Linked DNA regions of Oreochromis niloticus. The protein of the gene in region 3 binds, or shares a complex with, the protein of the main gene of each other region. Links are inferred from orthologs where the notes say so. Each region holds a gene or a part of one and is shown on either strand. Other genes may lie near its edges. The genes, in order: gdf5, bmp2b and bone morphogenetic protein receptor type-1A.

What was found.
Region 1: the proteins of bone morphogenetic protein receptor type-1A (region 3) and gdf5 are in contact, whole or in part, in a crystal structure (PDB 3QB4), measured with the Homo sapiens proteins. The link is inferred for Oreochromis niloticus from reciprocal best matches to the Homo sapiens genes BMPR1A and GDF5. Residues at the interface, in NP_001393490.1 of Homo sapiens: Gly65, His66, Cys67, Pro68, Ile77, Thr78, Phe83, Ile85, Glu87, Cys100, Met101, Lys102, Glu104, Gly105, Phe108, Gln109, Asp112, Ser113, Lys115, Ala116, Gln117, Arg120, Ile122; in NP_000548.2 of Homo sapiens: Arg399, Phe435, Pro436, Leu437, Ser439, His440, Glu442, Pro443, Asn445, Val448, Ile449, Leu452, Ser455, Met456, Pro458.
Region 2: the proteins of bone morphogenetic protein receptor type-1A (region 3) and bmp2b are in contact, whole or in part, in a crystal structure (PDB 2QJ9), measured with the Homo sapiens proteins. The link is inferred for Oreochromis niloticus from reciprocal best matches to the Homo sapiens genes BMPR1A and BMP2. Residues at the interface, in NP_001393490.1 of Homo sapiens: His66, Cys67, Pro68, Asp69, Ile77, Thr78, Asn79, Phe83, Ile85, Cys100, Met101, Lys102, Glu104, Gly105, Phe108, Gln109, Asp112, Arg120, Ile122; in NP_001191.1 of Homo sapiens: Lys297, Pro330, Phe331, Pro332, Leu333, Ala334, Asp335, His336, Ser339, Asn341, Ile344, Val345, Leu348, Asn350, Ser351, Val352, Asn353, Ser354.

What each region holds. Positions count from the first base shown.
Region 1 is NC_031970.2:3,001,109-3,011,329, reverse strand, and holds the start of gdf5 (growth/differentiation factor 5), read right to left. Parts: upstream 4,476-10,221; 5' UTR 3,823-4,475; coding exon 3,333-3,822; intron 1-3,332. UniProt on the Homo sapiens protein: Growth factor involved in bone and cartilage formation. During cartilage development regulates differentiation of chondrogenic tissue through two pathways.
Region 2 is NC_031980.2:4,166,817-4,177,225, reverse strand, and holds the start of bmp2b (bone morphogenetic protein 2b), read left to right. Parts: upstream 1-5,931; 5' UTR 5,932-6,136; exon of another isoform or gene 6,137-6,485; intron 6,486-7,435; 5' UTR 7,436-7,448; coding exon 7,449-7,803; intron 7,804-10,409. UniProt on the Homo sapiens protein: Growth factor of the TGF-beta superfamily that plays essential roles in many developmental processes, including cardiogenesis, neurogenesis, and osteogenesis. Induces cartilage and bone formation.
Region 3 is NC_031978.2:119,990-130,800, reverse strand, and holds the start of bone morphogenetic protein receptor type-1A, read right to left. Parts: upstream 4,620-10,811; 5' UTR 4,382-4,619; intron 1-4,381. UniProt on the Homo sapiens protein: On ligand binding, forms a receptor complex consisting of two type II and two type I transmembrane serine/threonine kinases.

The DNA.
Region 1 (10,221 bases), on a different chromosome or scaffold from region 3:
TTGGCCGACTGGATGGGTTTATTAAGCATGTAAAGTACAGTGTTGTTATTGGTTACTGTTCATGGAGCAGTTTTACTCAGGAGTCAAAATTACTGGACTGTTTTATTGAGTGCTGTTATTAAGGGCTTTTAGCCTTTATCTAAGCAGGTGAGTGGAGAGTGGACAGGAACGCAGGGACGGAGCGCAGGGGAAGATATGCAGCAAATAACCCGGGGTGGATTCAACTACTGCAATAGCCTTAAAGTATGTGGGTCACCTGCTCAAATAAAGCTCTAAAACACAGATATTTAGTTTAAAAAAAGACTCTAAAATTCAAATGTTTTGTGATCTGTAAATTAAAAACTCGACATTTCAGGCTGATCATCACTCATTAAATTATGAAAGTAATATAACTACTAATAAACCTACTTTTGCCCAGAGAATGGCGTGTCGCTCACTCGCACACATGGCTTCAGCTTTTTTAACATATTGGCACCGGCCCAGGTGAAGAGGATTTCCCACTCTGGGGGAAAATGTCCAAATCTCTCCTAATCCCAGGCTGGTCACCAGAGCTGAGACAGAGAGATGGACTATTTAACTATTTGCACCAACTAACCTAACCCCAGTAACTACACTTTGGGCAGTGGGAGGAAGCGGAGTGAACCCATAGAGACACAGTGACGACATGCAAACTCCACACAGCTGTGAGACAACACTGCTAACTACTGTTCCTGCATGCAGTGGTTATTTACTGCACTGCTGTACTATCAAATTGCCAAAAATTGGAAAACAAACATTTGATCCACAACCTCACACAGGTAAACAAATGAGTGGGTTAATAAGGGGAAAAATTACTTCAAAAAATGTAATGATCAAAATCACTGCCAGATCAACTTTTAGTCGACTAATCAGGGTTTTAGCTGCTCTGCTTCACACACACACACACACACACACACACACAGCATCATCGGGGGCCCAGAGCAAGACATTGCTCTGGGGCCCCTCAGGAGGTAGGTTCAGCCTTGCATGTGGCAGGAAGAAAGAAAGAAGGAGCGGCAGCAGTAACGGAGGAATAAAGGCAGAATAAAGGAAGAGAGTAAGAGTGAATGAAAGGATAGAAGGTAAATAACGATCAGTTCCTCGTCTCAGCATGTGGACGAAGTCAGCAACGACTCGCTGAACAAATAAAGGCCACATTAAAAGTACATTAAGTGGTGGAAATGTAAACCTTCAGCAGCAGCAGGAACATGAAACTGCGCTCATTTAAAGACGCTTCTAAAACTGTTTTACATCGTAAAGACAACATGACACGGGGGGCTGTGAGCACTGTTTATTTACCCTCACGAGGCCGTATATATCACTGAGAGCCGACCAGATGTTAGAAACACACGGCAGCACACACACACACACAGACTCACAACTGCAAAGGAATAAATATACATAAATATGTGCATATATGTGCACAGACATGTTCCAGACGTTAAAACTGCTGAAAGTTTGACATCAAACACTAATTATTCCTCTGCTACACTACCTGCTGTCACAAGACTAAATTAGTTATTGGTCTTTAGAAAAATGCTTATTAGAATGCATTTCTAATTTCATACATGTAAAGTCGCTCTCTTGATCCCCACTGTTTGGTTTTCTCCCACCAAACCTTAAAGTACCAGATATAGACAAACATAGCTGCCATCACAGCTGTAACCCCCTCCTGCCTGGTTACAGTAAAGCCCATAAGCCCCGCCCACTTTATATTTGCGGAGGTGACCTGAGCCAAACTGAAGCCAATCTGAGAGAGCCATTTCACTTCCTGTCGATCCCAAACTGGCTGAAACTCAAGTGTGCAGTGGAGGGTGCTCGTGAGAAAGTCCTCAATGAACAGGAGTGAAAGGAGCTAAATAATTATTTCCAGCTGTTTGTAGAAAAAAAGCCCAAGTTTTATTTTAGTTTTCACAAATCCAGCATCGATGATGTGTGCAGCCTAAATTAAATCTACACTCGTGTCCTTTAGGTTTTTTTATGCAGCACTTTAATACAACTGAAAACGAAACATATCTATTGGCTCAGCCGGTTCTGTCAAAAAAATCCCAGAAGAGCACCTCCATGAATCTGGAAGTCCAGAGAGTGGGATCTATTTAATTTTTTTAAAAAAAAGGTGTATGTGCAAAGATTAAAAGCTGTAATTTGTTTTGATGGAAGTAGTCGTGATACACCTGCAGGCCTCTGTTCATGCAAATCAAACACGTTCACATCTCTGTGTTTAAAAGTAGTTTAAAACAAAATGAAATGAAGGCATCATCTCTGTTTGTGCTAAAGCGATATCAACTTATGTCTAACTCAAGCCAAGCTGTCTTTCTCCTGTAATACAAGTTTGTACCACAAGGTGGTTAAATGAGTCAGTGTCAGCTTTTACATAAACATACATACATAAAGGAAGTCATAAAGGAAAATAGAATAGTGCTTCTGATTGGCTACAATTCTCAAAAAACGGATTAAACAGCAGGTGGGTGTGGCTTCTGTGATGGGAGGACCATATAAGGATATCTACTCTTACTGACATCACACATATCCAAATCTAGAAAAAAAAAATCTAAAACTGAGAGTTTAGAGCAGCCTTAGCTTTTGGATGACTGAAATCACTATTTAAAACATCACGTGACTGCTGGAAGAGGAGATATACTAATAGCAGAAAATTATGTCCACTCGAACTTCTCGGCTAATCACATCCTGTTAGCTCTGGATGGAGCTGTTTCTTTAAGCTAAGCTAACTGGCTGTCAGAAAGGGAATCTGACCCCCAGTTTGTTGAACGCTCCTTCCCATAGTACTCCACTCACTGCTGACCTTCTGATTTTAACGGGACAATCCTCAGCCTGTGCCCTCAGCACCACCCTCCTCTGGTGCCCCCCACACTGGCCTCCAGTCCCTTAAAGCAGCTCTCATTCTGTGGGACCTGAGGCTCCAGTGGCATCCTTTTTATACTCCCCCTTTTTTAATTGTTAATGAATTGTGGGTGTGAGGTCTGAACTTGCTGTGGGTTCTAAAGTGAGACTTTAAAAGCAGCTAACAGCCCCTATCCTCTGCTCATCCTCTGGCTCCTCAGATCTCCTCTAACCTTCTGCTCCAGCTGCTTTTTAATCCCCACAGAGTACCAGGGGCACAAATGCATCATCAAGTACCTGTCCTGCTGCCCCCACAGCGTGGACCCCCACCCACCCATCACAGCTCAGCTGGGTGTGTGTCTGCCACCATCCCTGCACTAACAGCGTGTCACTGTCACTCTGTTTCGTGGGACTGAAAAGTAACGTGGGAGCACTCCCCGGGACGCACAGAGGCTCGTGGGTGATGCGGTTACCTTGCCCTTTATCCACGAAGCTCGTGATGGTGTTGGCCAGGCCGGCCTCGTGCAACGTGCTGCCGTTGACGTCACCGCTGGAGAGAGACCAGTACAGCGCGAGCATGTAGTCGTGCGGCGTCACGAGCGGCTGTTTGTGGCTCGCGGCCCCCCGCTGCGCCGCCGGAGCCGGCGCGCTGCGGGCTCTCTGCGGGGACGAGGTGCGCACCGCCGCGGCCGCAACTTTTCCCAAACTTCTCCCCGATGAACCTCCACCTCCTCCACCCGCTCGTGCGTGTGCGTTAATGGCAGCGGGAGCGTGCGCCTTATCGTACGCATCCCCGCCGGGCAGTCGGGAGCGCACGGGCTCCGTGCGCCCTGAGCTGATCGTCCTGGACGCCTCTCCTCTGATTACCGGAGGACCTGCGCGGACACGCGCCGTGGGGCCGGGATGCAGGTGAACCAGAGTCCAGCAGCTGAGCAGCAGAGACAGACGCGTCACGGCTTTCATCCTAAAGCGCGTTCGCCTCCCGCCAGGCTGTCATCGTAGCGAAGTGCAGTGAGATCACAAGGAAGCTGAAGCGGCAAAGAACAGTAAATCCGAGTGGGTCATCCTCACGAGAAATGCACGAAAGCTGCTGCCCCCGCCTGAAACTCGGCACAGACACGTGCCAGGCGGTGAAAGCAGAGACTGTAACGGACGTCTACAAGCCGAAGAAACAAATCCCGCACAGCTTTATTGTCCCACGCGGCATGTGTGAGGAGCATAGTGCTGGAGAGATGTGCCCGGCACAGCAGAACGCAAAGCCCGGGCTGAGAGGCGCAGAAACACTCCGCGGAACTGTTCTGTTGGAAGTCTTGTAAGAAACTTCTTTAAATCCCCCTTTTTTTTTCTCTCAGAGGGAAGAATGGCGTAATGCCGCAGCCCTCCCTCCCTCTCTCTCTCTCTCTCCAGAGTTTGAACTCCGTCCAGTGAAAATATTTCACTCACACACCAACCTGCAGGTGCTCGAAAAACTCCTCCAGCGAACCTGAGCGCAGGAATTGGAAACGGAATTCCAGAAAACTGGTTTAATTACCGCGTGATGTCATGCTGCCCAAACTCATTTAACAGCGATATTTCTCCTCAAATCTTCCTCCCTCTTTTCCACCAATGACTCACTGAAGCTGCAACACGGAAAGGACCCCCCCCCCCCCACACACACACACACACACACACTCACACTCAGGAGGGTAAAGAAAAAGTTTACATCACTGAAACGAGCCAAAAAGCGCAGAAATGAAAATCTCCACTCATCGGATTGATCTGTGTTGTGTTTTTCAGCAGTACAGATTATGAGGCGCACTTTTGTGCTTTGTGTCTCTTTGTTCTCATTAACACATATTTATATCGCTCAGCAGCATCTCTGGATGATTCCATGCTTCACAGTTTCTATAAAGGTAAAAAAAATCCAAACTCCAATCTTCTAAACTGAAATAGGTGACATCATTGTTGGGACATCCACCTTTCATGTTTTCAGCACTGTGAGCTGCCATTCTGTCCCACTGCATACTCTGGTATAGATGCAAAACACGAAACACTTGCTTCTCATACGTAAACCTACTTTAAAAAGCCTTTATTCTCTCTTCCAGCAGCCACAGTACACCTGAGTGGACACCGCACTGTCACTACTGTCATCTGTCAGCATCTCACACTTGTTTAGAAGCCATCAAAGAAGAGTGAGACACGGGATGAAGAGCAATGACATCAAATTTATTTAAACGAACATGAACAAAAACCACGAGCACTGAGGCTGTGCGCTGGTGGAGTCATGTGGAAGAAGAGCTTCAGAAGTCTGGGACCAGGTGACTCCACGGTCTGCTCCATCCACCATCACCCCCTGCACTGTGGAAATAGACCACACAAACAAACTATACAAGCAAGCAAACCATCACAAAAACTTGTAACGGTGTCACCTATCCCAGCATGCCCTGCACCATCACAGCAACCAGCGGAAGGAGTTTACGGGTAGAGAAAAGAGACCACATGTCTGTCACCATGTCGTCAGCCGGCCTTCGTGACTGTAATTCATTTACTGTAATTATCATCTCCGTGTTTTGTTAGAAACTTTCCCCACCAGGAGGCAGCGTTTTCACAGACTGCTGGAATATCTTCAGACTTCTAACTCAAGTTCAGCTCATATCTTCTCACAACATGATATAAATGTTATTTATTCTCCTTCTTTTCATAGCAGACGGTAACTTTGGAAAGTTTAAAGCTATTATAAGTACAGAAATTTAAAACAAGTTCCTTTAACATAACAGATGTCCAGGCTGTGTGGCTGGAAAACCACTGATGGGACAGTGGATGGGATTAACCCGTGCCGAGGACGTTGCTGAGACACCACAATGTCCACTTCCACTGTGCCGAGCTTTGTGGCTGTCATGTTTACCAGAATGGGCCTTTTTGTCACTCCTGGGAATTTTGGCATACTGACTAGTGTGATCTTTCCTGGAATAATTAATAGCATACTGGTATTTGAACTCCCTGCTAATGTCAGAAATGCCTTTCTGTTGTGTCCCCTGGTGTGCAGCGCTGTAGCTTATATGTATATTAGTTTATTCTTGTTACTAGGGATGCACCGATCCCGATACTGGTATCGGGTATCGGTGCCGATACTGTAAAATGTGTGCGTACTCGTACTCGTAAAAGTCAACCGATACCATGAACCGATACTAATGTAGCCCGGATGGGAATTTGGTAGTAGATACTCATAATTCCCATGGACTTGAACGCCACATAAGGTGTTCACAGTTCACAGAAGAGAACGGCATGGAGAGATGCACGAGGTTAGCTGAACCAAAGTGAGAGACTCGGCTAGTTTTACTGAGGTTAACTTGCACAAAAGAGTGTGTGACTAGAAAGCTAACTGTGTGAGAGCTTCGCAACAGAGTGTGGGTGAAGTGACTTTTTGTTTCAACGGTCGCACCACCGTCCGTGGAAAACTGTGTTTTCAGCCATGACCGCTGAGGCTAAAGGCTAGCCCGGACTGCTTGGCTGCGCCACGGAGGCAGCTGCTATGGACTGTCGGAGAGCTGGACAGTGACTGGCTAACGCGCTGTAGCAGAGACAGCATCGGGTCCGCAGGGAGTGGATTTAGTGTGGGACTGGTGAACGGCGACCTACCGAGCAACGGAACTGTAAGTCAGACTTTTGTGCTCTTACTGGGGAGAAGAGGATTTTTCTCCATCGTCCGGCGTGAGCAGCAAACAGGCCTGCAACAAGTGTGAATGTGAGTGTGTGTGGGGCCCATGTGTGAATATTGTATGTTTAGTGGATTTATATACCGTGTTTTGGAGTGTATATTAGTGAGTCACTTACCAAAAGGTGATAACATAAGTTGGGTTGTTTAATATAATTTGAAAGGGAATTATTTCATTTATACAGTGTATTTCATTTGGTTAAGGAATTGGAATATCATTTGAGTTTAAAAAAGGGATGTGTTGTACAGTATTTGTCTCTGCCCTTACGTTCAGTAAACGTTTCGTTTGTGTTAAAGAGTTGTGTGGGGTCGTTTCTTTACTACCGGTTAAGTTTAACTTGTGTGTGGCAGAAGTATCGGTTTTTGTACTCGGTATCGGCAAGTACTCAGATCCAAGTATCGGTATCGGATCGGTTTGAAAAAATTGGTATCGTTGCATCCCTACTTGTTACTGTACCTAAATCTTAAGAATTGGCCTCAGGTGATTTCATATGACCTGCAGGCTGCAAATGTTTTGCCTGAATATTAATGAATATGTAGTTTTTGGCCACAGTTAGTACCTGTCGTGTTTTTAGCTTGACTGGTGTTGTGGGTATTTGTTTTTCTGTTTTACTGTTTGCCTCTTGCACACTGTTAAACTCACTTTGTGTATTTTTTCTCGTAGTCTACGCAGCCATCAATGACTGTACTGCATTAGAGTTTTAATGTATTACATCTATTTAATTTTAGTATATTATCCTGTTTAAATTACAGTTAACACACTTGTGGGTCTCATATTTGACTGATTATAAAACCTCGAGTTTTCACACATCCATGTTTACAGTGTTTTGGTCTCCTTCTCTTCCCGGGAGACGAGGCGGTCGGTTCTGATTCTAACACTGTTTGCCAGTTTAATTTATGATGCCACGAGCAGCTCCAGCTCGGTGCCATAACTTTAGTTTTGACCAAACTCGAGGAATAATTAGCAGCCAGGGTTCAACCCCGGAGCTCCCGGCAGTGGAGCTGGTCTCTGGTGGTTTGTAACTGGAGCTGGTTCTGGTTCTGGTGCTGTGTTTGTCTTTCCCTCTCTTTATTCTCTCTGACCTCAGCTGCTTTTCTGCCCACCTGAGGCCATGACAGAAGGACAGGAGTGATCGGATGATACTGTTGGGATCGGCTCGACTGGATGTGACCGGTAACAGATTGCGCTGTTGCACATTCACACCTGACTCCAGGTGACAGTGCCTTAAAACCACATCACAACTGAACGTCATTAATTACTGACCAGTGTGTTTTCACGGCGCACAGTGGAGCACATGAGGCGACTGATTTGGTGCTAAGTGAATAAAATTGAAGTGAATGGAATGAATATTACAACAGTGTGTGAAAGTGCTACAGTAATGGTTTTCTGTGTGACTTTATGGGTCGTTCATGTCATTGTGGTAAAATTTTGGCTCACTCTTCTTCACAGTTCATTGAGGTTTGTGTGGATTCATTTATGCACATCTCACAGCACTTCGGTCGGGTTGAGGTCTGACTTTGACCTGACCGTTGCAGCAGCTTCCTGTCAGAGATTTGCTTCTGCGCTCTGGATCATCGTCCTGTTGTTGACCCAGTTTGGTCTGAGCTTTAGTTGCCAGACAGACGACCTCACATTTGACTCTAGAATACTTTGGTTTACAGAGGAGTTCACGGTCGACTCGATAACTGCAAGCTGCCCACGTCCTATGGCTGCAAAATGAGCCTGCATCCCCAGCCCTCCGCCGCTGAGCTGACAGTTGGTATGAGGTGTTTGTGCTGATATGCTGTGTTTTGGTTTGTCCGACTGTGCTGCTGTCCACGATGGGCAAACACCACCACTTTGTTCTCTCCTGTCCACAAGACATCGTTCCAGACGTCTTGCGGTTCGTTCGGATGCAGCCAAACTTGCTCTTTATAGAAAGAAGAGGCCACAGGGCTTCCAAACAAGCCACACTTATTCAGTCTTTATCTAATTGTGCTCTTACAAAGTTTAACATGCTAACTGAAGCCTGTAGAGTCTGAGATGGAGCGTTTGTGGTTGTTTGTAGCTTCCTTGAGCGTTGCACAGTCTGGCTGAGACGTCCACTTCGTTAACACAAGCTTGAGTGCTGCAGACCGGAAAACTGCCAAAACTTCTGCTTTGATTGGGGTGCTCACACTCAGTGATGATCAGTTAATCAAGTGCATTTGATTAGCAGCGCCTGGCTGTTAGTTGAATCCCAGTGGAAGCAGTAAAAGTGGACTTCACTCATGCGTCTGCATTTCTGATATGTAAACCGTAGAAATGAACGGGGTGTACTTTCTTTTACCAGGACTCTACGTGTGCACGTCTACAGCTCTCTCACTCGCTGAGAGGAATTCCTGCACTAATCAAAATGTAGCACCGTGTTTCCACCTTTCATTTTGGCTCATTTCATATTATGTTTTTGTGAAGTTTTAACTTTCGTGTGTTACTTTAAAGTCTTCCTTGTTTCTTGTAATGCACTTTCAGGAAGGCGTTCCGCTGTTATTGAATGTGTTACAGAAATAAACCCGATGGACACTGCGGGGGTGTGAACACTTTTTATAGCCTGTGTATATTTGAGGGCACTTCCTGTATCGGAGGAATCGTGGGTGTGCGTTTGAGCGTGAAATGTAAACTGATCCCCGGACCTCGGATTCCTGCTCTGGACCCACCGGTCTCACTCCAGAAAACGTTGAGCGCAGCAGATTGGGACACAGTTTGGAGAAAATGTGGTTTTCCTTTGGCAGGTCTGGCTCGTGTGGCATGCAGGACGCGGGGAACATTTCATTCTGAAAGATAAGTTGTTGACATTTCTGAGTCTGAGACATGCAACGAGGATCCCAGGCCAGAGCCAAAACCAAGGACATCAAGTGCACATGGAGTCTGATTCGAGCCAACTGACAAACAACCGTTTCCAGTACGCCTGAGCTGCTCCGAGGCGAAGAGCTGCCTCGCTGCTTTTTATTCTGGCGAATGTCAAAGACACAGCGAGGGATTTATCCTGACGCTCATATCAACAGTCTGTCATAAGTCATGATTTTATAACAAACTGCAAGCGTTTGGAGTCGGTGAGCATCACACCCTGGGACTCCATCAGCTCCAGACCAACAGGCCAAAGGATGGGACCGCTCCAACTGTCAGTAAATATGTCAACGTGTTCCTGAAGTCCTCGCTCAGGTCGCCTTCACATTATTTCACAGTTCCTGTAATTATCATTCTGGTTCTCTGCAGGATCCTTCAGATCATCTACAAAAGTTGGGTGAAGCTCCACCTGTGGTAAAGGGTTGAATGGTTACACCCCTTCACAGCCTTTTTGACTCAACTCGGTCTTTTCCAGTATTCGGCACCGCACACATCCATGTGAAATTTTCTGGGCTAAAATTCACATTTCGGATCTGTTTAAAACTACAGCCAAAAGAATTTCACACAACTCCAAGTGTCACAGTCTGAGGCCAAGATCTGTTTTTGTTCAGCACGACTTTCTCCATAACCAGCTGCATCGTGGGACACGTTTAATGTCTGTGACGCGAAGGAGCAGAAACAAGCATCGATACTCCGGATGTTTGATCTTTTTTCTGATCATTCCGTGGAAAAAACTTCAAAAAGTGCATTCTGGGTAAACTTTCAAGGCTCACGTTACCAAAACAGGTTACAGCGCACGAAG
Region 2 (10,409 bases), on a different chromosome or scaffold from region 3:
TGAATGATTCACAGGTCATGTGTTTCTCTGAAAGTGTTCAGGCACAAGGACTGGAAAGAAAATTAGAAAATCTCCAAAGAAAAAGTTTCAGAAAGCCTTGAGAACTATTCTCACTTTTAAAAATGACAAGAAAGTCTCCTTGGAAGCAAATTATAAAAGAATAAGTGACTTAAGACTGTTTCATACTGTATATATGAACCTATGCATGAGTCTTGGTATTTCATCACCAACAGAACCTGATTAAATATATTGTCAGTATGTGTTCTCTTCTAAAGGTCATGGTACTCCACTATGTGTGTTTGCCCATATAGTTCCACAGAAACAAGCATCATTTTAGATGGGGTTTAAAAGCAGTGTTACTCAGATGGATGCTTGCAAAGACTTACATGTTTAAAACCCAGAAGCAGCAGAGCTGAGAGATTAAAAAGCAATTTAATATTCCAACCAAATATTCCATTAGATCTACATAAACAACCTTTAATTGAAAGCATCTTGAAAGCATCATCTGCTGAAGATGCATGTTCCTTATTCCTCATCATGTATGGATACTAAGTGTTCCTTCCTTCTTTGGCCTGTAAACAGCTGCTTGTGCTTAAGCGGTAAAATGTAAATCTTGACGCTGGCTGTTTACGTAGCCCAAGCTTCTAATCATGCAGACATATAATTGAGTGACGCGTGGTGTCTTTATGAGTGGAGCTGCATTCAAAGGGCAGATCCCTGTATTTATGTCTTTCTGCCTCTCTCTTTAAAATCAAAGTAGCTGCAGTGCAGCTATACCAACTAGTTAACTAGCTAAATGTATTTAAAATGTTTATGTGATTCTTAATGTAAATTGTCACAGTGTGAGGTCAGTACAGAGCTAAATGTTTTACACTGCTGATACTGATTTTACAGCAGCAGTTTACCAGGCACGAAAAAGGACACTGCATGAAATTCAAAAGATGCATCTAATAACAAAATACATTATTTTTTAGACTTATGGTGGAGGATTTGAGTGTAAAAGTCTTTTTTTATTGTTGTTTTTTGACAAAAGCCAGCCCAAAGTGATTTCACAATACAATAATTATAATATCTAAAATAGCAACAACTTCTGTGGATGAAGGAGCAACCACGATTCGCTGATCAAAACTTCCTTGCACCCTATTTACACAGGAAATTAAATCACAAACAAATAAACACTCTGCCAATTTGCTAAATTACGCACAGCTTCTTGTGTGCGACCAACCTCAGCGTACTTCTCAATATTTGAACCATGCGAGCAAGGTTTGGACCCTCTCTTGTGATCTCTGAGAGGTCGTATAATCTGGAGGTGGACTTGTTGCTCAAATTAGTGGGTAGAGAAGCGTGCCACATGTTCAGTATCCATAAATATTGACTCTGGCTTTCTAGCTGGCCGTCTCTGACCTTGGTGGGTTTCCATTTTGGGACAAACCTATTTGAAATGTGTCCCATTTTGCCACAATCTCTTTCATGCACCATGTGCACGTGCTTAGCGTAGTGCAGCAGTCGTGCTTCTGCTGTCAAACACGTGGACTGATGAAGATATTACTGGTTTCTAAATTAAAAAGACGCCACTGCCTTGCAGTTGAATTAGGGATGAGTCACAACAACAAATTGTTTCCTGGTTTCAAACAACATCTCTGAAGATTATCTCCCTGGGGACACACATACAGTCTGTTAAAACTACATCTGGCTACATCAAGGCAGAGGAATGCAGGCCCTGTGTCTAGCCAAGCTACTGTTAACAGCAGGTGAAAGGCTAATAGTTAGATCTGCAGTGTCATCTCGGGGCTTTGTCTGCCCCCTTACTTGTGGAATGTGCGTGATGACAAGAGAAGGCTGCGCCGTCCACATCCACCATAACATGTGCAGACAGACACATCCATGGGACAACAAATGAGCATGTAAAGCACCGTACTGAGGACAATAAGCCATGTCTTCTTCTGATTTTTTTGACAGGATCTATGTGTTAAAACACCACTATCCTCATCTCTCTCAAATAACCTCAAACATTTCCCCTTCAATACATTCATTATGCTTTCTTTAAAAGTGCCATGTATTGTTCTGCCATAAGGGAGTTTCCATAAAAAAGATACATCTATTAGATGAAGCAAAAGTACATGGTGGTGGTTTACTGTATATTATGTTTTTGGTTAGAAAAGAAGATTTCCCCCCAAAGCTGAATGATGAATGGAGCATAACAATAAGAAATATGACTTTTAAATGATTACATAATGTATCATTTGTACATGTGTGGGTCTGAGTGTTTTATAACGCAAACCTGAACCTGCTATTTTTTCCAGTCTAACCTGAATTTTAGCTTTATGTTGCCTTCCGTTTGTCAAAGAAAGGCAGTAAATTTTCATATAGAATTTTGGGAAAAACAACTCTTAACTCAAAGAACGAAAAGATGTCACAAAGCAGGAACAAAGCGGTGATTGTGCGACAGTGTTTGTGAGTCTGGGAATTTTCAGTTGTGTTGATTCTAAGCACAGACTTAAGGCCTCAGGGGTCGGATCAGAGACTGGTCATATTAGTCCTCACGACTGGGACAAAAGGATTTCCAAGACCACCAGTTTAATCTGATAACAACAGTCTATAGCTAAATTGTTGTTATGAGGATGGACAGATGCTCCACAGCACTGTTTTTGACCTACCTGTAGGTCATTGCAGACTTAAAAAAAAAAATCAGGGAAATTTTGGTTGTGTCAGCTTGAAATTGTGTTTAATTGCTTTGTACCTGCAGACGCTAGAAATGTTAATTTCTAAAAAACCTTTTTTAACCTTGTTAACATGCCAATGTGATTGTTTTTATATGCTAGAAGGCACACCAGGGCACACCAGAGAGTGAGACAAAGACTGCAGTGTTGCAATGACAGGTTTTAAAGCATGGATTTAGAAAGCCAGGTTTCATGCATAACAAACCTAAAGCGACGACTTTACTCTGCTGTGGACATGGGCAGCTGGAGACACTGTGGACATGTAGTCATTGCTGTTGTACTTCTGCGAAGCCCATTGAAGTCCACCTTGCAATTACAGTTTACATAATACAAAGTTTCCAAAGATGAGTCCACAGTCACAAAAATGTACATCACTTAGACCCAAATCAACCCTCATGGACACAGATGTGCTAACACCCACATTAGGAACCAATCCCTCCAACTTACAGGCTGGGGACTAATAGAAGTGGCAACCTTATCTTTAATAACAGAATATGATTTGATAATGTAATCAGGTCCAACATACATAACGTCTATATAGGAGAGACTGTTTCATTTAGTTTAATTTTACAGCTAAAAGATTGCTATTAACTAATAACTGTCAATTGATTTTTTTTTCTGACTTTTTCTGACTGTTGACCTGCTGAACAGCACCTTCTCTTTATTCTGGACCTCCTGATTTACAGTTTAAGCAGCAGGTTTTCCTCAACTGCTTAACAACTGGACCTATGTTTTCCTTCATTTTGCAGGAGAACTTATGAGTGAAGCTCACAGATCCAGTGGAAAGAGGATGAGGGAGCAGGCATGGACCAATATTGATATGCATATTAAATTAGGGAAAGCCCTTTTTTGCATAAGGGTTTATATTCATTTAAAAAAAACTGCTTCTGAACATTTAATTGTGGTGAATCTACGTGAGTTCTTTTAATAAATAATATTATTTAATAAACTTTAATAAATGTCTGGAGAGGGACTTTTCCAAGATTTTACGTATTTTAAAGAAATAAAACATATATATTATGAAAGCATGGGGCTGAAGCTAAACATACATGTGGGAAACTCTGTACAGCTCACAGGCTTGTTTTTCCTTTTACTATAAGCAGCGGGACCAGCACAGCAGTGCATTTAGGTCTTTAAAACAGCAGAGAGCCATTTGAGCACATGTTGACCTTGAATTTGATTCCATAACTTTGAAAGAATATTTACTACAATCACAAATAAACAGATACTTGTTAGAAGAAATAAGCATGCCATTAGTGGTGGTTGTTGAGTTAATAGTGTCTGGCTAAGTCAAAGTTTAAGGCTCTCAGAGACTCTCTCAGTAGGTCGTTCATTTGAGTTTGAGATAGCATATCTCTACCCGCCCTCTCTGGCCATGAGGGTTTCATTCTGTGATGTTGTTCTTTCAATCAGCATGTAATTGGATCAGCAGCGATATGATAAGCAATGACATATACAGTGTCAGAGCCACAAGATCTTCTCAAACCACCCTGGGCATCACTGATCAAGTCCCTCAACAGCCTTGGCTTGGCACATTCCTCAGAACTGGCCTGACATAAGCTGAGCCAAAGGAAACACACTCACACAATTTATGCATGTCCATGCCTTCAAAACACACACAAACGTTGACATGATCATTTAGTGAAACCACAAAAATGCCTACAAAAAGAAAAAGACGGACAAATAATCAGATAAGGCCCTCTGTTTCTAATCCTGTCACTCGAGTAATTAAAGATGCTCACAGCTTGCTGTGGGAGGACTTATCCTGCAATCTACAGCAGCCTGAATGCAGCTTTTACCTGGATTTGGGTTTAGAGCACTAGGTTTACCAAGTGGTATTTTGGCAACAACAGAGACTCAATTGCCAGCAGATTAACATAACAATGGAGAAAATCTTTATGAATAAATGACCTGTAGTAGAACTAAAGTCCATGAAAAAGACTGCATCACAATCTGTCACCATTTGCTGATTCTGATGAATAAATACATTACCAAAACAATAATAAGATCCAAATAAGCTAAGTAGATTTCAAAGAAGCTAATTAGATTCAGCACCTTAAAAAAGTTAAACTCTGAAGTGCCTGGATGCAGCAAGGAAATGGAAAGGAAACACTGTAACTCAGACAGCAGCACACACTCATTGGCCTTACCATGTTTTAATTGCTAAGTGGATGATCCAGGATTATCCCTGATAAAATATTACTGTCCTAAAGGAAGACAAATATCTTGTGATCGCTGTGGGATTTAATCTCTCGCTATCTTGCGAAGAAGTCAGTATGCTTTGGCCCAAACACAGCCACCATTATCACCTAATGGATAAGAGCAGAGGAACTCAGTGGGGGCTGTTTTTTTTATGGAGATCACATAAACACCAATGCTACTGACTACAACCCCTCAGGCTAAAAACAAAGCAGCAAAATTTCCCTCACCCATCTGTGCTTTCAACGGCTACACAAAAGAACCAAGTACTTTTCCTAGAAAAGCCAAATCAACTGGTGCGCTAACATGCTTCGCTTAACCGGTCATCCTTTTTAAGATGCAATTTTGTGTGAACTCTAAATTATAAACTTAGTGAAAACATTACTGCCTTCTTGGGGAATTTTTCTTACAAGATTTTATCACTTGGCTCGTCTGCAGTACTGAAGAATAAGACAGCAATTCTTGCAGCCAAAGCTGCCACAGATATATTGATAAAGCGCTGCGAACTGGAAAGAAATGAAAAAGCCTAATGCAGCCAGCGGGGAGCGCGTGTACAAGTCACACATGCACAAACATTCACACAAAGTGAAGTTCAGCAGGAGAATGTGACAGTCACTTTGCAGCATCTAATCCTCTGAAACCACTAAAGCAACAAGTTATAAACCCATTATCTGTTAGACTTAATCCAAAAACTAAACATTTTTGATCCAGCCATTAACACCACTGGTCAAAAATGTGTCTATGTAACAGCAGGAGCTGACATGTTATTGCTCAGGGGTGGTCAAATTCACATGAGTATTAAACCATCTAGGGACTGTCAAAAGCCATTTTGATGCTACTAAAAAACATTTAAAAAGAACAATCTGGAAAAACAACAGCATGGTTTTAACTGCTCTTGACTTTATTATTTCTTCTGTCTCTTGTTTCGTTTTCATTTCAATGATGTATAATGAGCGTAGGTAGGGGAAAAAAAGGAGAGTTACATGTCCAAGCCTTTCAGTCATGAAAACGTTTGGAGCCTCAGGGGTAGAGGTCCGCAGGAGGTGCTTTATTGTGGACAAATGATTGACATCCCCTTGGTGACATCACTACGACAAAAAGAGCGCTGGGGGAAGAGAAGGCAACAATCAATTCAAACACTCCAGTGCGGCGCACAGAAGAGAGGCGACGCGCTCTCCAACTCGCAGCAAGAAGGTCCAAAAGAGCGACACTTTAAGGTCCGCTTATCGTGTTTCTCTCTCTCTCTCTCGCGGAAAAGTTCAGTTTTAGCAGAAGATAACTGTTCGCTGGTAAAGATGTTCAGAGAAGCTTCTTTATACTTAGATCGGTTATGCCTACGCGAAGCCGTTTCCTCGTAGAATTCACATAATTTTTTTTCCTTTCGGGACTGACCAAGACCTAACCCGATTCGCAGCTGGTGATAATATGTGTGAGAGGCGATCGGCGAAGGCTATGGGCTGTCTTTGGTCCCCCAAGGAGAAGCAACGTGGATTAAACACGAATTAATGTGGAATTTATCGGAGCCCAAAGGTGGAACGACGACCGGACACAGCGCTTTCTCGTCAGGTAAAATAAAAACTCACGGTTTTTTGATAAACGCTTAAAGTACTTAATTGGCGTAAATAAAAAAAAATGAAATGTTTGTACAATAACTTGCTACACGAGGAAAAGCTTACTTTCTAAGTGACCCCCCCCCTCCCTGCTAGTTCTTGGTTTATATGTGATTATAGGGTGTGTGCGTAAAAGTTAAAGCGTTCTCCTACACACGGAGAAAACTATGAAAAGAAGAAGAGGGGAAAAGGGTTGTTTCTTTGGAAGTCGTGCTGCTCAGATGATGCTTAGGTTTTTCATGTTTTTTTATGTCCTGTCCCGGGCTACATCTGGTACGCACGTCAGATCTAACACCTGCGAGCCTCTTGAAGTAACTCTATCCCTTATGATTACACACGACCGTCAAAGCCCCTGCAAACAGACGCTTGTAACACCGTCTGGTTGCATCTGTTGCTGCTGTGCATACTAACCCGTTTCCCTTCACTGTATTCTTTGATGCTTCTTGTGATCTGTCGGGCTACACAGACTTGCATTTCTTTTTTTCATACCACCTCCCGTAACGTGATTTCTTATCTCCTCTAATTGGAGACTTTTTGTCTGATCTCTATCCACAAATCCTTTGATTGTTTTTTCTGAGTCAGTCCCTCGTTTTTTTGTTCTTCTCTTTCAGAGCTTCCTCACCTTGATATTTTCATGTATCACTTCATGTTAAGACCAAACTTCTCTTTCAGCTTTGACGCGCTATATTGCCGGTGGGGGTCTCGCTCTCTCGCTCTCTCTCTCTCTTTTTACCCACTTCAAAGTGAAGCGTTGTCTTCCCTTTTAACCTGATTTCCTTCAATCGTTCCGACTGTGTAGGGGGATCACACACAGTTTAGGGAATGCTGCAGTGAGGTCCCTGCCGCGTCTACCTCATGTCAATACCTCAGCGCCAGTGTATTGACAGAAACCAACTTTCTCCACAGGGACTGACTGATCATGGTCGCCGTGGTCCGCTCTCTCATGGTACTGCTGCTCGCTCAGGTGTTGCTGGAAGGTGCTACGGGACTTATCCCCGAGGTCGGCCGGAGGAAATACAGCGAATCCGGGAAGCAGACCCCAGAGCAGTCAGAGAGCTTCCTCAACGACTTTGAGCTTCGGCTTCTCAATGTGTTTGGACTGGGGCGCAGGCCGACCCCGAGTAAGCAAGCCGTGGTGCCGCAGTATATGGTGGACCTTTACCGTATGCATTCAGCAAACGGAGACCATAGCACCAAACGACCCAAGAGCATGGGGAAACACGCAGAGAGAGCCGCCAGCAAGGCCAACACGATTAGAAGCTTTCACCATGAAGGTATGTATTAGTGACATACCTTTACCTGTCAGCCGGGAAGCTTCTCGGCTCTCTCAGACAACCCAAACCTATATTTAAACATGACTCAGTGCGTCAAGACTGAACTTCAGAGTCTTCGCTGTTTTATAGAGGTTTAGTCATTTACAGGTGACACGCGTCTAAGTTACAACTTACTTTTAAAAACGCTCGGGATTGCCTAAAACTCAGTAACGCGACTTACAAACAAGCATCTCGTACGCAATTAATTACCTCCCACAAATGTTGTGATGCAACATTTAACCGAACATCCCCCTGGGGCTGCTGTCAGAGGCTTTAAAACATCAAGAGGCGGTGGTATCCCTGGAGTAATTTGTTTCTTAATAATTGATGGTGTTTGCGTGGGCTCCGAAAACAGTTTTTCCAGACACGCACCACAGGAGCAGGATAAAGGGCGGTGTGCCTTTGCGCAGGTGATAGTCATCACCCTGTTACTTCAATAACACACGACATGACATTATACTAACACGCATTATGACAAAGTCATCGTGTCAGACTGAATTCTGAGTCATTTTTAACAAGGCTGAAATTAGTTTTTGGTTAAAAAAAAGGGGGGGGGGTACCCGCCTTATTCGTCTTTCCAAATCCCCGTTGAGCCCGTGCAGTGCGCCATTACGCATGTTCCAATAACACTATAATTGCTCACTTAGTTTGTACGGTGGATACGGTGCTGCTTGTTGAATTTGATGTTTCAGTTCAACTCCGTTGCACTTCAAAGATAACATATGCTGCTCATATATATAAGACTGGCACTAAAAGCCTCATACATCCTGGATAAGGTGCACTAAGTTCAACAACTACACAGATGTTCGCACAGTGTTACAAATAAAGTGGACTTTTATAACTTAAAAAAAAACAGCAGCTGAGAAAATAAAAATGATGGTTTACTTATATTCTATTGATCCGAGGCTATATTGTCTTTTGCACCTGGCTGTGATATTAAAATGACTCACGCATGATAAAAAGGAAACACTGCAGTGTTTACTGTCAAACATATAGTGATGCTTTATCACCATTCACCATCTTAGGGTCTATGTTCCATTTGTCAAAGCATACAAGTGACTGTGTCCATAGGGGCTCTACACAGAGTCCTCATACAGAGTTCTAAGTGTTTGACTGGGGAAGTTTCCATCAGGGGTGAGTCAGAGGGGTGGTTGAGTGGTTGCTTGGGTGCTCTCCAGAGGCCTAGTGCAATGACACCAAGTGGCTACACCGACACACTACAAACAACCCTGGCCTGGGCAGCCGGGCTGAGTGACTGCCCCCAGCCAGCTACTGGAAACCTCTGCCACCGGCCAACACACCTTGACACCACTGGCCATTACGAATGCGCTCAGGCTGTGTTTACATACGTCCCCCCAGCCCTTTCATCCCGTGCTAACAGAGCTGCTGGGCTGTTCGTCTTCCCACGTCAGGAGACACGCAATTGATGGCTGCTCCATATAATAAGCATGTATCTACAGATGTAAACGCAACACATCAAAGCAAACTGCTCTAATCATTCATCACATCTGCTGCCTGATATTCATTTCACTAGGATAATTAGTTTCACTGCTATCAGTTTTCAAAAATAACCATTTCCCATGCCAAATAGAACATTTCCACTACTACACAGGAAGTGGCTGCCAGAGACACGTCTCTGATGAATGACCCAACATTAGCCTTTATCTTATGTTTTGGCATGCAGCACAAAAAGAAATTAGGAATGTTGATACACTCATATCTGTGGTTCACACGTTTGTGACAGGCCCTGACTTGTTCACATAGCCAAACCTCAAAGAACAGAAAACGAGAGAGAGTGAGAATATTGTTGTAGAAAGAAATTGAGGAAGACGTGAAAGAGGAGGAGAGAGAAAGAAAAGAGGATTTGGGGCTAAGAGAACAGAGGGAAAGGGGGATTTGGGAGCTGAGGAACGAAAGAAAGAGAGGGATTGGGGACAGAGGAGGGGGAACAAGAGACAGGGGGCTTTCCCACATCAAATAAGGAGTGATGGGCCTAATTGAGGTCTTTGTGCCTCTGGAGGGAGATTTAGGATGAGATGGTGGAATTTCCTAAATGCCTCCTTTGAAAAAGCAAAGAGTTCAAAGTTTGTGTTTACGGCGCTGCACCAAACAGATTAAAAAGTGTGTCTATACATCATCTGTGATCTTCATAAAGTAAGAGTTCAAAGTGGGAGGGCTGCCTCAAAGAAAATTGTAGCTTTTACTAAGACTTCTGTCATTTACCGTACACTATAGAGGGGTATACAAAGATCTTAACTGTATACAGTTTATATATACTCTACTTTCCATTTGTCTTTTATTATCGTCACATTAATTGTAACTTAAGTCCTTGTAATTTCAGAATTAGTTATTAAATGTAATACCTTGACGCATAAAAGAAGTATTCCAGTGCTGGCAAAATCTACACTATAAATAAATGTTGATGCAACAGTTGGCCTTTCTAGTTTTCTTCTGGCCATTCTCATTTTCGATGAAGTCAGTATATGGTGCAACTTTTTTCATGTGTACTTATGAAAATATTTGCAGCAGCCAATTCTCACAGTGCAAATGAGCCATTTGAAGTCTGG
Region 3 (10,811 bases):
GGGTTTAGCTGCCCTGCAAGACTCCATTAGCATTAACTGGTGTCTTCCTGTACACTGGTCTGGTCTGGTGCCATTTTATAGGTATAGATCATTTACTTATGGAACACAGGAGAAATCACCGATCCCTCGGAATGTCTTTAGGTTTAAACTGTAAACATGACTCAAAAAATAAAGATTCAGTGGTTTTATGACACAAAGAGGAGGAGGAGGAGGAGGAGGAGGAGGAGGAGAAGATGACTGTCAGTCTTATCTTTTTCAGAACCCCCCCGTTTCTCTTGTTGTGGCCTCGCTCACTCGCCTGCTGTCAGTGTTATTTCGGTTACAGTGATCTAGGCTTGGCTGAGGAATGTACAGCTGCCTGAAACACGGATAATACTAGATTTTAATTTCTAACACCCGCTCTCCGCCCTGCTGTGTGCCTCTGCTCCCTATCAGGGAGGAGGAAGAGGAGGCGGCCTGCAAAGGTAGAGGCTGTGAGAGCAACAACGACGTCAATGCTTTCTGTAGACCTTTTTAAAATACAGTAAAATATAACGCATGATTTAAGTTATTATAACAGAGTATGTGAGGCTGCAGACAGGAAAAAGGAACCTGAAGACGTCATTTGGTGGTTTTAGCCGTTTAGCTGTGGAGGTTTGGATGCATGCACGGACTGTCTGATTTCTGTTTGTTAGCATCTCAAAGCTAACTACTAAACAGACGACAGACGGACATCCAGCTTAGACACCCTTAGACTTTAAACACAACACTCTTTAAAGACTTTGGATGCAATAAACAGAATTGAGACACTGTTAAAGCTTCTAAACATGTTAAAAACCCCTACAAGGCTTCATGCACCCTTACAGATTCTAAAGCCTTTTAAAAATACTCAAACAGGCATTAAACAATATTAAGAGACTCTGTACCATTAACAGAGTTAAAGACGCAGCAAAAGACAAAACAAAGAAGAAGACCCAGAGGGTTGGCATCTACTTTCAGCAACATTTCTGAAGCTTCTTCCTCCTGATTGTCACTGAAGACCTTTTAATGACCCACATGCAGGAGGCAGATAAATGCCAGCAGCCAGGTCTCACAGGGGCAGCCAAACAGGTTTTCCTCCTCTTCTCAGCAGCCATTAAAAGACGCCGCCTAAAGCGATGCGGGTCAAAAATGTTTATCAGAGGCCCATTCGAGGCATCAGCAGTCGGCTTACAGTGAAAATAATATCTGTTATCATCCCTGCATCCATATACAGTAAGCAAACATGCAAACAACCAGGAAATCAGCACTAAACACCCCAAAACTCGTGTATTTTGTAGGTTTAAGCCTGTTTTTAAGTCACTTGGATTAAGAAAGAGCCTGCATCTGTTACTCTGTTTGGGACCTCACTTCTCTGGTTCTCTTAGCTGCTCGAGGTTGTTGTCCAATAATCAAACAAACAGACAGTCTTTAGCATGTACGAGGATCACTTAGATTCTTAAACATGTGGTCCAGAAACATCATGCAGGATTTTACTGCAACCATCCCAACACGCTGCAGTTCTCATGCCACAAACTCTTCAGGCGATTTTTACCGACTCTGTGCCTCTAAATCGTATCGTCGGCACAACACTGGTATAAAACTTTGAGTGATATTAAAGTGTCATGTTGTCATGTTTAAGTTCCCTGGTGTGTGCAACAGCAAGACAAGCCCAGACATGTCTGAGAGCGAGAGCAGCCTGTGATGATGATTTAGTACCTAAAGCAGTAGCTACTTCAACACCCTCCCAAAAGCACACACCATCGAGCAGTGCTGCATGATGCTGCAAATCAGAGGTAAACACAGGGCCAGTGTTGCAGATACCAGTACGCATATCTGTAAAGGCAAGTTAATTATAATTAATATAAGCATATATTAAGGATCCTGTCGTGCTTGGATCAATCCAGTACCTATACCAGCATTGGTATCGATATGATCGATATTTGCATTGCTCTGCACCCCTCTTTCATCGATAACACCCCGCTTCCAACAAAGAAGACACGAGCAGCCGGTGACGTGGGACCCAAATCTGGACAAATGACCATCGAGCGTCGCTAGCTGGATAGAATCACTGATGATGCCGTTACATCGGTGAAAAAGCAGCTCTTCAAAGAGCTCGACCAGCATTTAAGATCCCAGTTAGGAAATGTGACAAAATCGTGCCTGACGAGTTAGTTACCGTTAAACTCGAGTGTTAACGCCTCATCACTGGCTGTAAAGTCGCTGATTTACATTTACAGATGCTGCTGCAGAGCTGCAAGCATCACTGGTAGGATGATCCCAAATGTTCTAGAAATATCGTGACATACCTCATATCGCCCACTCCTGCTGTAAATTAAAATAATGTTTGGCATTTTCATGTCATTCGCCCACACAAGGCGGGCAGTTCGGGCTTCAGGGTTTTCCCTGCACATCTGGACTCGCTCTGCCTCCACAGCCAAAAACGCTTCAACAGTCATTGTTACATTTCAAACTAGCATCTGACACAACGACTCTGAAAACCTCACATCACTTTTCATCTTAAGGGAATTTTACGGACTCTAAAGACCATTTAGATTAAATTATTATTGTTGTGATGTTAAATCTCCTCTTTATTATTTCTGCATTGGTCATCAATGATGAAACATGACAGGGGTGTGTAAACGCTGAACATGACACAGAGGACACAGAGCATTGTTAAAGAGCTCACGCATCGTTTTTACTGAATACAACAAACAGGTCCAGGTAACTGTGCTCACTTTAAGCCGCTTACTTCTCATTCTCCTACAGCGTCGGCCTCATGTTTGAGATTTTCATATAAGCAAACACAGTGAGAGTCTGTGCTGTAAAGAAGGAGGACGTCTACTGAATCACGACACAGATGAATGTGCCTTTAACATGATTGGCTGTTCCAGTAATGGTTTCATATACAGGTGATTAAACTGTATATGCCAGATGTGGTTGGATGTTAGATCCTCCAGTTTAACAGAAACCGTGAGTTAAACCCCCCCCCCCCACACACACACACAGTGCTGGGCAGTGAGAGGTGGATGTGAATGGTAAATGGCCTGTATTTGTATAGCGCTTTACTAGTCCCTAAGGACCCCAAAGCACTTTACACAACCAGTCATCCACCCATTCACACACCCATTCACACACACATTCACACACTGGTGATGGCAAGCTGCATTGCCATCACCAGGTGTGCGGGTGTGTTTAGTTTTTTATTAGACAAAGGTGTGAATGAGATCACATTAAAGGTGCTCAGGAATCAGCTGCCTCTCCGGGAACTCTTTCATCCCGCTGTTGCACACCAGCAGCAGTTTTTTAAGTTAATTTGATATGTCTGATAAACAGATTATTGGAAAGATTACTCCCATGTCCGCGCATTTTAAAAATAGGAAATGGCCTTTGTTTAAATTTAAAGTATTTTAAATTTAAATAAGTACTTTAAGATTTTTTAAGGAGGTACATGAAAATAAAAGTGACTCTTTTATGCTACCTTATAAAACCTCTCACACTGCAAAGACATAAAAGCCGCGATAGTTAATCGATTAGTCGATCAGTGGACTGTATTGATTATGAGCTGCAGACACGTGAACGATTAAAAGCCAGAAACATGGCGGAATAAACAAGAGACAGAAGTGAGATCAAAACCATCTTAAAACACGCCGAAGCAGCCTGGAAACAGAGCTCACAGGTGGCTTTACCTGCCTGCTCAGGTGGGTCAAAAATCAGAGTTTGAAGCAGGTAAACATACAGAAACACGGCTGGTTAGCCCACGATGCTAACCAGGCTAACAACATTAAAGGTCAGCAACGAAAAGCGCCGTTAAAAAACTTTGACAACAAACTTATTTACCTGTTTTTCTTCTTCGTTTCAGCACCTTAAACCCGCTCACAGCTAACTCGCAGCTAGCAGCGCTAACAGGAATGCGGCTATCCGAGCTGGAAACAAATTCTACCGAAACAAACTTCACCAAAACCCCCCGAAAACACCCCTACACCCCAAAATAGTCCGAATCTAGGGTTTAGATAAAGCCCTTGTGAGTTTAAAGCGATAATCTGTCACTTTTTAAATCAAAAACGAGCCAAATTTCTGCTGCAGCAAATCTAAAGCCAACTTTTTTTTTTCCACGACAGCAGTTAGAGAAGGAGGGGATGCGTCTATCTGCTGGCACAGAAATAAAATCTGTACACCGATAAAATTCTCATTTCTTTAACTTACATCCACAGTTAGACACACTAAAATTATTTTATACACACCCACACACAGGCCTACTTAAAGCTGATTCACTGAAAAATAAAAATCCTAAGGGAGTGCGTGTACTCCAGTAAATAGACGGCGCTCAGAAGTCGGGCTCATACCCGCAGTCTGGACTGAAGTTTGGGATCGTTTGACTCACCTTTCTTCCTGAGTCTTTACTCTCTCCTGGATGTTTCGAACCTTTTCTCCCGCGTTATTTCATCCTGTAAGACCGGTTCGAGCTCGCTCCAGCCTCCCTCCCTCCGTTATTAGGGGAGAAATCTATATTTCCAGACGTTTTTCGTCGGCGTCCTCCGCTCCGTGCGTTCCGCTCGCCTCTGCGGGTTTGCGCTGCTTTTAGACAGAAAAGCAAATACCAGGCAGAGATCGTCTCTTGGTCTCGCGATGACTCACTGTGCATAACAAAACACTTCCGGTCGGAACGAGGGGCGTGTGGAAAATTTGCACGCGCTCACTGTTTCACCTCTCAGGTAACTTCAGAGGACCTGAGATTAAATGTGCATCATCGTCTGATTGAGGGTTTGAGGGGCCCAGGTGTGAGGCTTTCGCGTTCTTCTATTTTCACTCCCTAAAAACCCCCAATATTTTTTTCTGTTTTCTTACTTTTTCTTCTTATCTAGCATTATTTGCATCCTGTGTACCTGAATGACCTGCAAGTTAGAACATGTTTGTAGTATGAAGGATTCATTAATAAGCGCAATGTTATGCATGCAATTGAACTGAATTTCCCGGAGGAACCCACCCGATGGATTAATAAAGTTTTATCCAATCGAATCTAATCCAGTCAGTGGCGGTCCTAGCCTGTTTGGCGCCCTGGGTGAACACTCCTTCTGTGCTCTATTTGGAAGCAGCCGCCCCCCTCCCCTTTCGACGGGTTGTGTGAGACTTCAAATCATCAAGTTGTAAACTGTAAATTTTAAATTGTTATTGATCCCTTTACCCCGAGTCCTAAAGTGTATATTTATTTTTTTACTCTTAAATATTTATTGTTCGTTTACTTGCACTGCTGTAACTGGAGCCTCGTCGTCTCGTCTCTCTATATACTGGACTGTATGTAGCGGAGATGCCAATAAAGTTTACTTTGACTTCAGCACCGAGCAGGCGCACCGAGGGCTCTCGCGCTCACTTTTCGCGTATAGAATTTCAAAAAAACATTGGTGCAAATTATAAGTCTGCATCATGATGTCCGGTGTTTTCGTGTTTGTTGGTTTGTTTTTATTTTGTTTTATTTTGCGAGTTGGTTATTAGATGCTGCTCCAGCCAGCCAGAGACTCCCCCGCCGCCCCGCCCTCTCCTCCCTGTGCCGCAAGCAGCAGGCGCACCTCGCAAACGAGGGCGCCCTTGCTCCCAGCAAATGGGCGATAGAAAACCGATCAGTGCCTATGCCATCCCCAGTATGCGCTGGCATGACGTCGGGGCAGCATGAGTACGAGCATTTTTTAAAAAAAAAAAATTTTTTGCCGATGCCCGTGATGCCGCCCCCACCACGATGCCACCCCGGGCAACCGCCCGTGTCGCCCATATCAAAAACCGCTACTGAATCCAGTACTAGGAAGTGTATTATCACCCTCTCTGTACACTGTTTTTGTATATAGTAAATACTATGATTGCTCTATTCCTTGCTTTAATTCTATTTTCCTTTTTTTAGTTGCTTTGTCTGTATCTTGTAAAAAGTGTAACTTGACCTGGAGGGCTCTGTGCAATAATTCCAGCATGCATGGACCGTTGGTCCTGTGCGCAAATTGCAAATAAAAACCTTCAGTCTTGAAATACAGTTACCTGGTCCTGAGGGCTCAGCTGGGAGCGTTTTCCCTTAATTTACTGATTGTATATGGAACGAAACATTCAGGTTCAAAAGTATTATGGACAAATAAATGAGAGCCTCCGGGCAACAGCTGTTGTGATTTGGCTTATCTTAATGAACTATGACATAAATCATCACGCGGCAGCTCGTTATGACTACAAATAACTCTTTTCTTTTGGTATTTTTGGAAGCAAAGGAAACACCATCCATCCATTCGCTTCCGCTTATCCTTTTCAGGGTCGCGGGGGGCGCTGGAGCCTATCCCAGCTGTCATAGGGCGAGAGGCGGGGTACACCCTGGACAGGTCGCCAGTCTGTCGCAGGGCCAACACACAAGGACAGACAACCATTCACACTCACATTCACTCACACATTCACACCTAGTGACAATTTGGATTATCCAATTAACCTATCCCCACAAGCTGCATGTCTTTGGACGGTGGGAGGAAGCCGGAGTACCCGGAGGGAACCCACGCAAACACAGGGAGAACATGCAAACTCCACACAGAAAGACCCCGGCCTGATGGTGGAATTGAACTCAGGACCTTCTTGCTGTGCGGCAACAGTGCTAACCACCGTGCCACCATGCTGCCACCAAACACATGTTGTAAAATCTCATTTTAATTGTTCCAGTCTCAATGATTCAGCAAAATAAAAAATAAAGAAAGTATAAATGCTGAGCTTCAACATTGCAAATAATAATAATAATATACTTATATGAGGTATATGTTATACTGATTCAAATGCTAATTTAGAACAATAAATAAAATGTTATTAATTCAAAACATGGTATTTGATGATATAAATATATATTTGGGCTTCCTGTTGGTTCTAAAAGCTGAGCCACATATTTTCTTTTTCTATCTTTACAAAAACACATAAATACACGATCCTCCGAGTCAGCATCATATCTGAGGTTTTTTATACATCTGGAAAGTTGATTTAAAAATAATTTATAAACTTACTTTATATTTTTAGCCACTGGCATTCTGAGGCTTAAACAAAAATAACTGCCTAGAAAGTCAGTGATGTAGTCTAAGAGCTGTTTTTGGCGGCAGAGTGAGACCTCTTCCCCTTTTCACTCCTCTCTGAGTCCAATCTCTGCTGCTCAAAAACCCGCAGGCTTTTATTTTGAAACGCAATCAGGAGAGGGCACTAGCTCCCTCTGGTGGCTCCAAACTGAACAGCATTATCATCGCTCAACAAGAACGACGCTCGTTATCATGATGACGATGATCTGATGATGAGGATGAAGATGGTGATGATGACGATGATGTGTGGGTGTGACAGTCATGTTTTTCGGTTGGAGTTACAGAAAACTGATGACAGATAAAAATGAAAGAGGAAGTTCATAAAGGTCAAACACGAATACTCCTCTTCTCAGTACAATGACTCATTTTCTCATTTTTTATTTCGTTTTTGGTTCAAATATTCTTAAAGCTGCAGATATGAAAAATAGAGATTTTTAGGGGATAAAAATCAGATATTAAATAAGGAACCACATTTTTATTTTGTTCCTCTGAATATTTGCTGCCTCCAAACCATCAACGTGTCTTTTAGACCCCATTCCTACAAAACTGCTCAAAGAAGTCCTGCCATTAATTAATTCTTCGATCTTAAATATGATCAACCTATCTCTAATAATCGGCTATGTACCACAGGCCTTCAAGCTGGCTGTAGTTAAACCTTTACTCAAAAAGCATCTCTAGACCCAGCTGTCTTAGCTAATTATAGGCCAATCTCCAACCTTCCTTTCATATCAAACATCCTTGAAAGAGTAGTTGTCAAACAGCTAACAGATCATCTGCAGAGGAATGGCTTATTTGAAGCGTTTCAGTCAGGTTTCAGAGCTCATCACAGCACAGAAACAGCTTTAGTGAAGGTTACAAATGATCTTCTTATGGCCTCTGACAGTGGACTCATCTCTGTGCTTGTCCTGCTAGACCTCAGTGCAGCGTTCGATACTGTTGACCATAATATCCTATTAGAGCGATTAGAACATGCTGTAGGTATTACAGGTACTGCACTGCAGTGGTTTGTATCATATCTATCTAATAGACTCCAATTTGTGCATGTAAATGGAGAGTCTTCTTCACATTTCAAGTTCACATTCCATTTGCGCAACATCTCTAAAATTAGAAATATCCTGTCCCAGAGTGACACTGAAAAACTAGTTCATGCATTTATTACTTCCAGGCTGGACTACTGCAATTCATTATTATCGGGAAGTCCCAAAAACTCCCTTAAAAGCCTTCAGTTAACCCAAAATGCAAGCCCTCATAGTAAGTACCATCTCACCCTATTAGAGCACTTCGCTCTCACACTGCAGGCTTACTTGTTGTTCCTAGAGAACAGAGATTGACAGACCACATGACTTTCGCGCATTGCATTCTGGGTACCCGTGGCAACAAAATCAAAACACTGCATCAAGCGCTAGCATTTCCAGCACCAGTAATCATTAATTCTGCAGTTTTAATCCCTACTTGCATTTTATTTGCCCCAAAAACAGTTATGTACAAAACGACGGAGAACACGGCAGGTCCGTACAAAGACAGAGTTGACGAAAAGGCAAAAAAAAAAAAAAAAAAAAAAGTACGAGGAAAAAATCAAAGGAGTGAAAGGGTCAGACCCGTACGAGCGTACAGAGCGGAGTAAGGACGTTAGCGTGCTGCCCAACTTCCATCACGCACATATTTATTACTATATGGTCCTAAGTGTGAGTGCAGACACTCACAAGCTGTTTATTAACTTCAGATCCCTGCAACAAGCCCAGGTCCAGTTTACTTTGGTGATTTGGACTATTCCATTTCACAGCTGTTGTTACATTCTTTTCCTTTATCTCCTGTACAGGCAAACGCATCTATTTGTCGTTTCACAACATTTTCAGATCTAATAGAAATAACATGAGTGTTTCGTAATTCATTCAATTTATTGTCTTTATTTATAACTGGCATTCTCCAAAAGTTGAATCTGTTCATCTGGACGTAGCGTTTTGTGGGAGAAACGTTTCGTCTGAGACTGAAGAAGTCACTTGGATGAGTGACCAAACGTTTCTCCCACAAAACGCTACGTCCAGATGAACAGATTCAACTTTTGGAGATTTACTTTCCTGGATGATTGAGAATGCATCAAGACGATATAACTGGCATTATTGTTTCATTCTATTATAGAATCTTACAAGAAAGAAGCAAAATTGTATTCGATTATGCTTTATTAGCTGCTTCGGTGAAAAACAACAATGCAAAACAACATACTGGAAAACAGTTATTCATCACTTGATTGCTTCAATACAACCCTTGGGCACATATATGCGGGACGTTTCGTGGCTGTTTTGATGTCGCTCTCTCTCTTAACCGATCAAATCTGGCTGTGGTAGCAGCTTTAAACTCTGTCTGACCCAGGCTGATAGAGGCGCCCAGTCTGCATCGCATTCCAGCATTTTGTAGGCTGGTTTTCCTACAAAACACAACAAACATTAGCCCGCAAAGCCACAGTGAACAAAGCAGCATAGCGCAACGAATTCAATTCAAATCAATATAAGACTTATTTGTAACCTACATCAACAATTATGTTATGATAAATTACGTAATAACTACAACAGAAGACGTACCTTTGTGGAAATGCTTGGAGCAGACTAACATGTGAGCTGGAGTGTTCTGGGACGTTATATTTGGTCTTCGAATGGCTGCAATCCAGGCCATCCGTCGGCTCTTTGTTACTTCGGAAACATGGCTTGAACAATTTTTCTTCCACGACGTAATCCGATAAAAACGATTTCTTTACCCGTCGGCTTCCCGTGGCTGTCATGCGACCGGCTATTGCATTTAATAATACAACAGCTTCTTGCCATTTTGTGTTTGTTTTTATCGCTGTGTGACTGTTTTCATGTGAAAGCCTGCGTGCGCTAGTATGGCTTGCCACTCGTTCCCACAATCCTTTGCGGTTTTACCCCTGAATGACGTCACATTTTCAATCTCTATTTCAAAGTAGAATGGGAGGCAGAGCCTTCAGTTTTCAGGCCCCTCTTCTGTGGAACCAGCTTCCAGTTTGGATTCGGGAGACAGACACTATCTCTACTTTCAAGATTAGGCTTCAAACTTTCCTTTTTGCTAAAGCATATAGTTAGGGATGCACCGATCCCGATACTGGTATCGGGTATCGGGGCCGATACTGTAAAATGTGTGCGTACTCGTACTCGTAAAAGTTAACCGATACCATGAACCGATACTTATGTAGCCCGGATGGGAATTTGGGAGTAGATAATCATAATTCCCATGGACTTGAACGCCACATAAGGTGTTCACAGTTCACAGAAGAGAACGGCATGGAGAGATGCACGAGGTTAGCTGAACCAAAGTGAGAGACTCGGCTAGTTTTACTGAGGTTAACTTGCACAAAAGAGTGTGTGACTAGAAAGCTAACCGTGTGAGAGCTTCGCAACAGAGTGTGGGTGAAGTGACTTTTTGTTTCAACGGTCGCACCACCGTCCGTGGAAAACTGTGTTTCCAGCTACGACCGCCGAGGCTAAAGGCTAGCCCGGACTGCTTGGCTGCGCCACGGAGGCAGCTGCTGTGGACTGTCGGAGAGCTGGACAGTGACTGGCTAACGCGCTGTAGCAGAGACAGCATCGGGTCCGCAGGGAGTGGATTTAGTGTGGGACTGGTGAACGGCGACCTACCGAGCAACGGAACTGTAAGTCAGACTTTTGTGCTCTTACTGGGGAGAAGAGGATTTTTCTCCATCGTCCGGCGTGAGCAGCAAACAGG